2 linked regions of the Caenorhabditis elegans genome follow. The protein of the gene in region 1 purifies or fractionates together with the protein of each later gene. This does not show direct contact. Each region holds a gene or a part of one and is shown on either strand. Other genes may lie near its edges.

Region 1 (7,953 bases):
ATTTGCCGATTTGCCGATTTGCTGGAAATTTCAATTCCGTCAATTTACCGATTTGCCGGAAATTTCAATTCTGGCAACTTGCCGATTTGCCGATTTGCTGGAAATTTTCAATTTCGACAAATTCGGCACTTTGCCGGTTTGCCGATTTGCCGGAAATTTCAATTTCGGCAAATCGGGAAATTTCAATTCCGGCAAGCTGTCGGTTTGCCGATTTGCCGGAAGTTTCAATTCCGGCAAATCGGGAAATTTCAATTCCGGCAAGTTGCCGGTTTGCCGATTTGCCGGAAATTTTCAATTACGGCAAATCGGGAAATTTCAATTCCGGCAAGTTGCCGGTTTGCCGATTTGCCGGAAATTTTCAATTACGGCAAATCGGGAAATTTCAATTCCGTCAATTTGCCGATTTGCCGGAAATTTCAATTCTGGCAACTTACCGATTTGCCGATTTGCTGGAAATTTTCAATTTCGACAAATTCGGCACTTTGCCGGTTTGCCGATTTGCCGGAAATTTCAATTGTGGCAACTTACCGATTTGCCGTTTTTCCGGCAAATTTGGCACCTCACCGGTTTGCCGATTTGCCGGAAATTTTCGAGAAAATTAGTATGTATGTAATCCTATCAAGTTTTCAAAGTTTATATATATACATACAAAATTAGACAAGATATTGTTTTGAAAAAGTTAGAAAATAGAAACAACTTCTAGAAAGAAATTGCAAAAATATAATGAAAGTATGATCACAGATAGGTGTGTTGAAATGCCGGAAGATTTTGATGGAAATTGTTGAATAAAAAATAGAAAATTTTGACAGTGATAAGAATGAAAGGGGACTGATAAAGCAAGAGACAATGAGAGAATGAAAAGATAATATAGGTTTAGGCGGTGTATATGGAAGATTTCAAAAAAATAATTATATTAAATCTGATAATTTTGAGAAACGAACTATTTGAACTTTAACTCAGGTTCTTTGTGGAATTATTTGAATTTGAAGTTTTTGAATACAATTAATATTATGAGAGACTCGTTCTGGAATGGGAGGATGGAGAAAGGGGCAGGAAGGTGTAAGAACAATTTGAGATTTTGCGAAAAAAATTGATCTAATTGTTTTCTACCTGGCTTATAAACAAACTGGTAAAAGGGATCTGAAAATATTTGAGTAGCATAGTAAAAAATGAAAATGCTAAGATGCTGGAGAAGCAAGCAGGGGCTCTTGTGTAGGTATAAAATGCCTACACGCCTGCCTACAGGCACTCCAAAAACTGCTAATTTTGGTTAAATTATTTTTTCAATAAAAAATTAATGTTAAAATATAGAAAAATATCCGGATATAGAAATAAAATGAATTTTCGAACTTAACAAACATCTTTCTATATCTACATTCTCACATTAACTTTTTTCAGATGAAATTTGCGTTATTCTACCAAAATAGGCAGTGCTGTGAGGCACGCAGTGGAGGCATTAATTCCTACACAGAAGCTCAAGTACAAATGATATGACTGGATTGTGGGAGACGGGTAGTGTTTTCATAAAGTTATAAATATGATAATTATGGATAATGCGGCAATCCGAGGCTTGGAAGTAGGGGATTTTTCAAATCAGGAAGCCTATGAATCCCATTATGTTGTGGATGTTGCTGTTGACCAGATCCAGATGATGGACCTCCTTGAATAAGTTGATGTTGATGTGGAATACCTCCTCCATTCTGCATTCCACTATGATCCATTTGGAAATGTTGTGGAGGTGGTGGTGGCCCCTGAAGATGGGATCCTTGTCCCATATGTCCCATTGTGTTTCCATACATCATGTGTTGCTGCTGTTGAGATGTTGGTGGTGGAGCCTGTTGTTCTTGCATTCCACTTGGACCTTGACCGAGGAGGGAGGCGTTGGGAAGATTGTATTTCTGAAAATTGTAGGATGAGAATGGGAAAGTGAGATAAGAAATATTTATTTGTATGCATGATGAAGCCGAATATAAAAGCTTACACTATAAATGGTTTCGATTGGCATAAGTGGCCGCTTGAGTTCGGAGTTCTGAAAGCAGTGAAAATGTAAGCAGAAGCAAAGCTGTTGTTAGTAATTTACTTGATTTCTTCTAAAGCTCGAAAACTAAAACTCGAGCAAAAAAATTTATTCACGACCGTATTTCTTCTATTAGTCTTGCGCCCACTTACTCTACTTTGACATCTCATATCTCGGTCCACTAAAGATATTTTTCCAAATGTTTCACAAATTCAATATTTTCTCAGTTAGAAATTTTTCGATAAAACCATAGGCAACTAAGATATGAACTTACAAAGTTAGGAAAAGTGGGTCAATACTATTAGAGGAAACGTTGTCGACTTAAACTTGGACAGTATTAAAAATTTGATCAACTTTTTAAAACTTAGTTTCCATTTTGTAAAAAACGGCGGAACATGTATAACTCGATATAATCTTCATTACTTACCAGTGTATTTTCAAAGATTCCCAGATTTCCATAACCCGACCCTGACATTGATCCTTCATCGATTTCGCCTTTGATATCCATTAAATCATCCCTCATCGAGTCTTTCATATCCTCTTCTTTACATGTAGTTGTTTTCCAATGAGTTCTCAATCCACTCGGTGAAATATATTTCTTTCCACATGTTCCACAACTATACGGTCTTTCGTTTGCATGCAGACGTTTATGAAGTCTTAGATGAACGTATTGAGTGAACTTGGCATCACAAACATCACACGTATACGGCTTCTGACCATTGTGAAGTCGAAGATGAGTTTTTAAATTAGAAGTCGACGAGAATCGCTTATCACAAATATCACAGCGATGAGGACGTTCTCCGGTATGAACAAGATGATGCTTCTGAAGATGAGCAAGCTGTGTGAACTCTTTTGTGCAAATTTCACATTTGAATGGACGTTCGCCGGTGTGCGTTCTGAAATGTTGAAAGTAAAAAAATAATTGGAAAATAAGAAAAGTTCTAACCTGACATGAACTTTAAGATTCGAAAGCTGTCCGAATGTTTTGTTGCAGTCTTTGCAAGCGTATCTCGTTTTTCCATTTTCCTGTTGTTGCACGTACTGAAAAATTTTAATTTAAATTTATTTTCATGTAGAAAATATGAAAAGGAATAACTAGACATTTTACCAGGTCTAGGCGTGTGAATCGCCCTCCTTGCGCCCTGATTTGAAAAAGATTTACAAAAAAGCACCCGGTAATCAATTGATTTATGTATCAAAACTTTGCTAATTTTATTGGGATCAACATAGAAAAGGTAGAGATAAAAGGTAGAGATAAATAGAGGCAGGGTCAAAAATTATAAAAAATATATAATTTAAAAAAATTAAAAAATCTAGTATTAAACATTTAAATATCAACTGTTTTTTAAAAAGAATGTTTCAAAATATTTTCCCATCAACCATCAAGTTCAACAAATTAAAAATCTTCTTTGGTAAAACTTACATTTGGAACTCCATTAAATGATGAATCATTGTGTGATGAAGACGAATGATTAACAAATGGAAGTTGATGAAATGAAGAAGTATGGGCACTTCCACCCATTCCAAATCCTCCACCCATACCACCACCACCTCCGAATGCTGGAGACGCAGATGTGTACAGAGGTTTTGATAGCTCATGCTGGAAATCTTGACTCCCATAAATTGCTGCATAGTTTCCAAAATGAGCTCCTGCAGTTGCTGCAAGTACTGGCTGCACATCAATCGGCTGGCCGGATCTTCCACCAGTGGCAGTTATTGCGGCTGTTGTTTGAGCAACAGGGGACACAAACATTGAGGTATCAACTAGTTCTGAAATAGGGTTCAATTGTTTTCAGGACTTTTTAGGACGCCCCAGTTTGTTTTTAACTTAGCAGTTAACAGTAAGCTATAAAATTATGAATAAACATACAACATGTATTTTGAAAACTTTTCCGTTGATAAAACCACATCCGCACGGGATAAAAGCTGCCGAAAATCCGAAAACAGGTAGATCACTAATTAAAAAGTATAGTAAAGCATAAACAATTTGATAATTTAATTGATTGAGGAAACAATTTTAACAAACTGAAAATATTGTTAAACTTAAGTTGATGTGTTAAAAACAAAAAAAAAGTATACAAATGTATCTTGTTTGTCGACAGAAGCTTAATCCCCATCAAGGACATATGGCGTTTTTAGCTGTTTCTGATAAGTTTTGTTAACAAAATGTTAAGCAACTTTTTGCATCTCCAGTGAAAAAAACTTCAAAAAAAAGTGTTACATTTTCAAAATTTTCAATTTCAGCTTATCAGAGATTCAGAGTGGGATTAATAAACTCACTTAATTGAAGGGATTTCCTCATGAACTCTTTAAAATCCACCAACGGACTTGCATAAAAATTGCCAAGTCGAACGGGTATTCCCGGGAAATTATTGACTTTGGTTGCAACAGGCCTCACAACTGGATTCTGGATAACATTAGGCCGTGTGACTTCTGCAACAGGCCGTGTACAGCTCTCCTGCTCTTCAACATCAATCATTTCTTCGTCACTTGCAGAAGAAGCATCAGTAGAGAGTGTATCAATGGGTGATTCAATGAGTTTTTTAACTGAATAATCAATTGCCACAATTGTTTCTGCTAAACTCGCAATTGCAGTTGATGCAGAAGCTGGTGGTGCAGATGGAATCAGTTGAGTAGCTGGCCTTCGAACTCTTACGTATGGTCTTGTTGAATAATTTAATTTCCTTGCGTAGTCCCTGCTGAACCAAAATGATAATTCAGTATTTGCTTCAATCTTTTTAACTGTGTAAAAGTAGATATCATTTCCAATTTGTGCAGCAACAAGATTCTGAAAATCTTCCTCTTCAGCAGCTGCCACGTATTTCATCCAATTTGATCTCGCATCATCTTTCACACAAATCGTTTTATTCAATCTGCCACCTGATGGAGAATAGATCTTCCACTCTTCCGGAGCTTCATCAAATGGAACATCTTCTTGAGCTGGACCACCTCCAGCCATTGATGCTTCAGCAGGACATACAAGTGCTGTGTCAACATCTACCAAACGAATTTCTCCAACGAGCGGGCCAAATCGGACTCCTCTCGGAATATGATCAGATGACCATATTGACGATTTCTTTCGATTTTTTGAGGAGGACTTGAGAATTAGGTTCATAGGAAGTGTGCATTCTGCTCGCTTTGGATTTGGCTGAAAATAAATGGAATTAAAATTGAAATGGTTTTTTTCGATGTATATTAACTTTCTCATACTATTTTTGTAGTCCTGGCAAAAAAACGGTCGGCAAAAAAGCAACTTTTTAGTGCACATCTCAAACTTTCTATGGAACGTTTTGAACTTTCCAAATTTCTAGAGAACTTTTTGTTCCAAAACCATTTTTTTAGAGAAATATACATGTAGGCAGGCAGGCTCGGTTTTTAAAACTTTATAGACTATAAAATACGAACTCACCAAACTAACAGATTTGTCTGGAACATGAAATATACATAATTCGGCAAGATTCTCATCTCCCGACTGCTTCCAATCAGTTTCAACGTTTCTCGCACCTGAAATTAAAATGTTCATTGTATAAAATGACAGCTTCACAGTTTTTTCTTTCGGTTTAAATTTTGAAGTGATTGTTTTTTTTGTTTTCACTTTCATTTGTTCTTTTTTATATGGTGTCCACGTCTAGTTCAAGAGGGAAAAGAACATTTTGATGATAAGTGATAGCGCGGCGATGATAAGCTTGGCGGCATTGAAATTTGATAAGAAATCCGAAAAGGAAAAAAAAGAAGTGGAGGGAAGAAAAACGAATTTGGCTGATTCGATTTCTTCGCAAATGTAGATCACGGATGGCTGCCAAGGGGGCCGAGTTACAGTATCCTATCACAACTTACCTGACGCTGAAACTCCGGCAGGTGACGTGGATGATGGCGGTGTGGAAGATGATGACGTGGCAGATGAAGCAGAAGAAACGCCGACAGAAAGGGGAGAATGAGGTGGTGAGTGAGCTGCCGCAGCAGCCGAAGAGAACGGTGCCGGCGGAACACCGTCATCCCCACTTCCTTGACCCATTTTTTACAGGTTTTGTTTAAAATGAGATCGAAGGAAAAGAGAAGAGAGATTTATTTTCTGAAATTGAAAACATGATTCTGGTAAAATAAAAATAATTTTTGGCAAAAAGAAAGACAAATTAAAAGTGAACCAATTCAAATAAAAGTTTCAAAACAAGAGCGAGAGAGTAATAGAGCACGGAGAGGGAAAAGGCGAGGGCGAGAATCAGGAAAACGGCGCCGAAATTGTCAAAAAGACCTTGATAAGGAAGAACTCGAAGAATTGGGGTGAAATAGCTGGGTGACCGAGGAGAGTGCAGAGTTAAGAAGAGCAAAAAGGGAAAGTTGGTGATTACGGTAGGTGGGTTAGATGATGGGAGGTTGTGCAATAATAGATTAATGTTTTTTTTAAAGGAGGAACTTATTAAGGCGTCCGGGATGTGCGCCTGCCTACCTATCTTCAATACTGCCTACTGAAAAAGTCAACAAGAACTGAACGAAAACCTAAATTACAGAATATAAGAGGTAGACAGGCATAAGTCAGGCGTCAACGTCTCAAGAAAAATCTGAAGAGGCAGTAGTTCAATAGCTCAATTTTTTTCAATTCCAAGTTAATTTCAGAGTTGAGCTTCTGAATTGAAACTTTTTTAAGATGTCAAGGGAATACGGTATGCATATTGTCGATCCAACAAGTAACCTCGTTGCTCAACTTTCGCGGCTTATATCTCGGTTCTCTTTAGTTGTATCAAAAAACTGTCAACTATAAAAACATTTGCGGACTAATTTTCAATATTTCTGCAGTTGTGCAATTTCGGATATCTAAACAAAAAACCAAGATATTAGCTGAAAAGGTGAGCAGTCCGATTTAATACTAATATAGGGAATACCCTTAAAGACGGACTATGACTTGTGGGGATTTTGCATCAAATTGCTTTAGATACTCCCAATAATTCGTATTAAACAATAAAAACTAAAACAATTGGCTAAGTTTGAAAAAACTTAATTTTTTAATTTCAAGCCTACGGGAGTTGCTCAGGAATATGTGCCGGAGAACTGAAAACCAAACAAGTTCATTTGAAGATTGTTTTAATATTTCAGAAAAATTCAAGCTTGTTCACATAATTTTTGTTCATAAACCTCGAAAATTCCCATCACCGCGGGCACAAATTCCAGAGCTTGTATAAAAAACCTAAATTGGCAACTTTCAAAAAAAGTGACGGGTGAGAAAAAAAAGTTAAAAGTTTAGAAGAAAAAGAGCGAGGCGGGGTCAGATCTGTTTGTCTTTTTCATTTGAAACACGTGTGATTCAGAATTCAGAAAAGGAGCCGACAACTTTCAAACAAAAAAATGTGGGGATTTGGGAAAAGAATACGGTAGCTTGGCAAATATGAAATCAAATTTGAAATGTACTAAAAAAATTGTAAAGGAAGATCGTTCATAAAAAGGAGGAGATGAATAATAAGAGTTTGTACAAAAGGGGGAAAAGCGAGAAAATAGCTGCTGCTACTACTGTTGGATGGGACGAATTGGAAGCAAAGAGAGTGAGAGAATGGATTACGGTAGAAAAGGATAATAAATAGTATTGAAATTTCAGAGATGCAGAGTCACGGTCAGTCATGACGCCGCCCGAGAATTGTCGCTCGCGCGCGCGCAACGACCATTCATCCATGGATTCGGATTCGACGGTGGTCTTCTTCTCTTCCGAAGAGTGTGAGGTATGGCTGTACACAGCAAAGAGAGATCACTGATTGAAGAGAGGATCAGAGAATCAGAGAAAGGGACCGGTTTCCCCCCATTTGTTCGCGCACTCTCTTGCATAATGGACGCTGCTGGACGACGACGACGACGACACAGAGAGGCTTCTTCTTCCCCTTGAACCTGTTCTTGCATATCGGGCCTGTAGAGATCCGCCAAAGTGATTCGAGGAGAGGATCGTCTCTTTT
Region 2 (5,376 bases), on another chromosome or scaffold:
CATCTAATGCGATAAGAGGAAGATGAATTGAAGAAAAACGGGAGGAATGCAAGGATAACGAGATGGTTGATCGGATAGATGTGTGAGTGCATACGTGGCAAAATCTGGTTATGCCAACATCGTCTGGAAGAAGAAAAAGAAGACATAAGAAGAAGAAGAGAAGAAAAAAAAGTCGTAAAAGTTTATGTTTTGAAGGAAGTAGCAGGGACGGAAGAGGAGGATGTGATGATGTGTCTAATCAATAATAAGACTAGATTGAAATGTGTAATTGAATCGGCCTGATGGGACAATTGTAGGAGGTCAGAAGAAACATTCCGAAAATAGCAATTTATGTGTGGGGGAGGCGACAAAAGGTGCGTAAACATAAAATTTACAAAAGCATCGATGTTTACAGAAGCATATAGGTGTTCTTGTCCTTCATCATTCAATGCCTTTGGCCAGTTTTTGAATGCCCCTAGTCTTCATCGTCATCAACGTCCAACTGTACGACGATGGAGACGATGCCTACACCGAAGAGGACATAGAGTGAGAGAATGTGGCATGTAGCAAAGAGGAAAATGAGGGCAAGAAGCAGTCAGCAATAGCCATGAATTGAAACTGGATTCGGTGTCGTCGGCCCCCTGTATGATGTAGATGGGGCGTGGATCCATTGGGCTAGTGATGATGGTCACGCTGTGGAATTGAGAAAGAAGGGACGAGAAGGAGAACTAACTGTGAAAAAATTGGGGAGAAGCTCAATGGGTTTGCTTTAGGAGCAAGCCGTGCCAGGGTCACTGTTTGTTTAGTTTTTTTGGGTTAGGTTAGATCAAGGGTAGTGCTCCGTTTTTTGAGAATGACAGGGATGAAAATGATGTTGACCAGTTGAACTACCCAACTAGACACATCAGAAATTATGTTAACTCCAACTCGGCAAAACGTCGCAACTTCATAGCAATCTCCTGCAACTTAATAAAAACATTCATATAACTTTGTAAAAAGCTGTTAAGAAGTTGCGAAAACCAACGGGATTGTGAGCGAAATTTAGCTTTACATCTGCTAAAAAATTGCAAAAGTCGTCTGAAAAGCTGCAGAAGTTTGCTTAAAAGCTAAAATGCCTAATGGTTGTTAAGAAGTTGCAAGAGTATGCTACGAAGTTAGGCCATTTTGCCGAGAAACTTTAAAAAAAAATGAATGTGATGGCGTTAAAACTATCAGCTTTCACTGCGAAAAAACTGGGAAAATGGTTTAATATTCACAAAATTCTTTCAATTCTCTTAATACTTTAAAAAATTACTCCTCAAACATTTTTGATTTTTTTTTCTTTTTGGTAATAAAATATCACCTGACAGCAAAGTTTTGCAGCTTCAGGTATTTTTTTTCCAATTTAGAAAAATCTTATACTTGCAGAAAAAATTTGCAAATTGTATTTCTTGCTAACTGTGAGTTTTTAAAAATAAAGTTCCAAAATGTGTGTTTCAAAAACCTGCAAACTTGTTTTAAATCCACATGTACTTTTAAAATATGTTCATGGGGAGTCTCCAACGGAACATTTTTTCAAAGTTTTTTCCCGATTATTGATCAAATCGGAAATAATATTACCAAAAAATCTCGAGTCTTTCTTTTTTTCAACAGGAAAATAATTTGAGAAAAAGTATTTTAATCAGACAGTTTGAAAATTATTTTCCATCGGTCCTGATAAAAGTTTAAAGGGGTTACAAGAGAAAAGAAAAGCACAAAAAATATAAATACGAAAACTATAAAAGCAGCTGACTAAAAATGAAAACATAGATGGGAAAAAAAGAAAAAGCCGGAAGTAGTTTTTCGATTCACTCTGCCAAATTCTCTTCATCACTTTTTTGATGATTCTCTATTTTTTTTTTTGAAATGTCTCATATTACCTCAAAAGCATAGAAATAAAAAGAAAAACACGCAGACAACTCCGAAGTGATCTAACGAAAATCTCGCGTGTGAGTGTATGTCAGTGCCGGCCTGTCCTTTCTCCAACATAACGATATTGTTATTCACAGTTGGCATTTCTTTCGAAGGTGAGGGTACGCAGACAACACGTGGAAGGTGGCCCATGGGAGGGGGAGATGATGAGATGCGCGGAAAATGGTCGTCGGCAACGGCAACAACACATTGACCGGTGGTGGTACCGGGCGTGCACTACTAGAAGACACCACTCACTGACTCGAGAGACGACCTTCTTTCAATATTCTTCATGTATGTTATTGCGATGAACCCGACACGAGATAACAACCCGATGATGAGTGGTAATTTATAGGTTCGGGTCAAGTTTTATAGCTCAAATATGCTTTGAAAAACAAAAAGAAAAAGGACATCAAATTTGAAAAAAAGTGTATTGCCTATGTAATTTTTTGTGCACTCCAGAAAAGGTGAGAATAAATTTGAAATGTGACTTACGTCATTCAATGAAATTTTAGTTTTCTCCGGTTTCCATAAGCAAACGCCACAATAGTTAATCAGGTGACATTGCAGAATTCACAATAAAAAGTGCAAAACACTATGCATCAAAAGGCTCGGGCAAAAAATCCAGCTCCCATGAAAGTATTTCAGCATATTTTTAGAATTCTAAATAAAACCTATATCATTTGAAAGAGTGCCTTGGCAATAGGTTACTTTTAAAAATTGGCAACAAAGGAGCACATTGAATTAGAAAAGGTCATTCTGAAAATTTTTGACAAAAATCTTTGCAAAATTCTTTCAGGCCAAAGAACTGTAATGTTTTGTAATGACATATTTCAAGACTCACATTTAAAAGACATAAGTTTCATCTGGAACTAAAAACGAGCTGAAATATTTTTCTTGCTAGTTGTGCTATTTTAGAGATTTTTTGAACATAGATGTGATTGCCACCTTTTTAGGACATTTTTTAAAAGTAGACAATCGTGGTGGAAATTCGAAAAAGTTTAGTGAGCGCACTCCTGTTACAGTTAGAGAAAAAGTTATTAACGTGGAGAAATTATTTTTTGAGCTCTTACTTTTATGTTCATCATTATCAAATTTGCTTGTTCCTATTTTTAGTCTGATCTTTTTAATTTTTTAAAGTGTCAATAGCAACACAAACATCACGAGAAACGGAAGATTAAATTGGATACATCGGACAGATAGTAGAATTGAATCCACCGGGCGGGTCAACAGAGGTCAGTGTCACACATACACTCTACGATAAGCTTATGACGATCGATGATCGAACACCGCTGTATCCTTCATCACCGACCTAGTTTTCTTCAAATACTTACCGAATTTTCGTGCAGATGAGGATCCTCTTCTCTGAAGTTTTGGAGAAAGATGCGCGGCTCTCGTTGAAACGAGAGAAGGCCGCGATTCCATAAGCACATCGTCACTCGACACTTCTTCTTCCTCCGCCATCAACTGAAATTATTGAAGATTACGGACGTTTCAAGGTGTAAAAATATAATGTGTGTGAAAATATTAAAAATTTAAATTCCAAATAAAAAACTTTAAACTTTAAAAACAATCTCATGAAGCATAGTGAGAGAGAGAGAGAGTTTTTATGATAGTTTTTGTGGGAAATAAAGAGCAAACAAAGCAAAAACTGCAATTTCCCAAAAAATATAATATAAGAGTAAACATTTAGAATTAGTTTTTTAAAAAATTCAATAATTAGAGGAACGGAGTATATCTATTTGAGATTATTGTTAACGTGGAGAGTGTCCCAGATAACTTCTGTAAATTAAGTAGATATTTGGAAATTTTTTCTACAGTTCAAATTATGATATAATCTAAAACTAGACAGTTTTTATTCTGGAAACCTTCAAGGATGACATTCCCTAATTCCCTAAAACATTGCTTATAAGTCACGAGAAAACGAAGAAAAATGAAATGGAAAACCGAGGAACGACGTGGAAATGCATTTATCAGTGTTAAATTCATTGATAAGTTGGGGTCGTCAAATGATGACGAGCCGATAGAAAAAGTAATGAGAAATGGGAGAAAAGTTGGAAGAAAACTTCTTGGGAAAAGAAGGCAAACTCTTTTTTTTTCTACTTGGAGACGTCAGAGGAAGGAAATATGTAGGAGATGATGAGCTCTTCAAAGAAGAAAAGAAGAGAGGAATAAAATATTTGATTCGGTTGTGCAGTCGGCAATGTGGTGTCAGGATTATTACATTCGTTTTCTTATTTTTTAAAAAAATAAGAAAAATATTCAATTTACGGGGGAGTAGATGAGCTTATGGAGCAGGTTTAGAGCATTAGAATTCTCATTTGAAATTGGAATAATTCAGATTTCTAATCATAGTATTTTCGATGCTACGGTACTCGGTCTAAAAATTTCAACGAAAAATTATGAAAAATCGATGATAACTGTGTAGAAAAGAGAGTTTGAATCACAGTACACCTTCTCGCTTTTGACAAAAATTTGTTGTGTCGAGACCGGGCACTTTATTGTTGGCTAAAAATCGTGAAATTTTGCTTATGGGTAATAGCATGGCTTCTGGACACAACTATTTAATGTTTATTGACAATTAAATTCAATAAATGATTTTTATTCAAAACATGTGGTCGCAAAAGGAAAAATATGCTCGTTCAATGAAATCGCTTTAATTGAAATCAATTATGTAATTGATTTTTTTTGTTGCATTTTGCAGCATATTGTCTGGTAAATAGCACAACATTTTTTTGCTGCCACTTCACAAATGGGCCTTATGGTAAGTTTTACGTTTTTCAATTTCAAAAAATATTTTTTTAACCTAGCGTACATTTATTTCAAAATGTTACCACTGATTGTGAGGAAAGGAAAATTTCAGAAAACTCGATAGTCGGCAAAAATTAAAAGGCTTGAGTTATATAGCTTTTCAACAAGCTTCCAAGATTTTTTTTCCAGTTTCAAGAAAAGAGTATCATTTGCTGGAATTATTGTTGGAATAAAAACTCAAACTTTGCCGGGCAAGGAAAATCAGAAAAACTGTAATTAAACTTTGAATACATCAAAACCAGAATCCGAAGGTGTCAAATTCGGTAAAAGTGTCATTCCAAAAAAGATAAATATACATGGAAAACAGGAAAGTATTCAAAACTGTACTTTTTATCGAACCATATAATCTAGAACACTGAACAAGTCTCTCCACCGTTCACCACCGTCAACGTACGGCGAAATGGAAACCGGACGGATTTGGGAAGAAAAAGAGTGAAGAAATGAGAGGGGGAGAAAAAGAGTTTTAAATAATTCACACCACGTTTTCGCGGGTTTTTTGTTCCTTCATCTAAAAGATGCATATCTTCTAAATTGACAGGGGTCAAGCGCGTCTTATGTGTGTTTCTTTCAAATTACAAAAAGTGGGAGTCTCCGGAATTGGAAGAAAAGATGAGTATCAAAAGGGCGCGGCGCGCGGAGCAATCGCGGAACACAACA

The links. The genes of interacting proteins can lie anywhere in the genome.
Region 2: the proteins of blmp-1 (region 1) and dre-1 purify together in Caenorhabditis elegans (affinity purification with western blotting; 2 studies listed by BioGRID). This does not show direct contact.

Annotation. Positions count from the first base shown.
Region 1 is NC_003279.8:10,407,438-10,415,390, reverse strand, and holds blmp-1 (B lymphocyte-induced maturation protein 1 homolog), read right to left. Parts: upstream 6,090-7,953; 5' UTR 6,033-6,089; coding exon 5,855-6,032; intron 5,522-5,854; coding exon 5,427-5,521; intron 5,166-5,426; coding exon 4,298-5,165; intron 3,788-4,297; coding exon 3,441-3,787; intron 3,059-3,440; coding exon 2,964-3,058; intron 2,914-2,963; coding exon 2,445-2,913; intron 2,030-2,444; coding exon 1,982-2,029; intron 1,899-1,981; coding exon 1,545-1,898; 3' UTR 618-1,544; downstream 1-617. UniProt on the Caenorhabditis elegans protein: Transcription factor which binds to enhancer elements in the promoter region of genes. Regulates the expression of the transcription factor bed-3 to control vulval development.
Region 2 is NC_003283.11:6,543,120-6,548,495, forward strand, and holds the start of dre-1 (F-box domain-containing protein), read right to left. Parts: upstream 3,373-5,376; coding exon 3,243-3,372; intron 653-3,242; exon of another isoform or gene 447-652; intron 1-446. UniProt on the Caenorhabditis elegans protein: Substrate recognition component of a SCF (SKP1-CUL1-F-box protein) E3 ubiquitin-protein ligase complex which mediates the ubiquitination and subsequent proteasomal degradation of target proteins including blmp-1.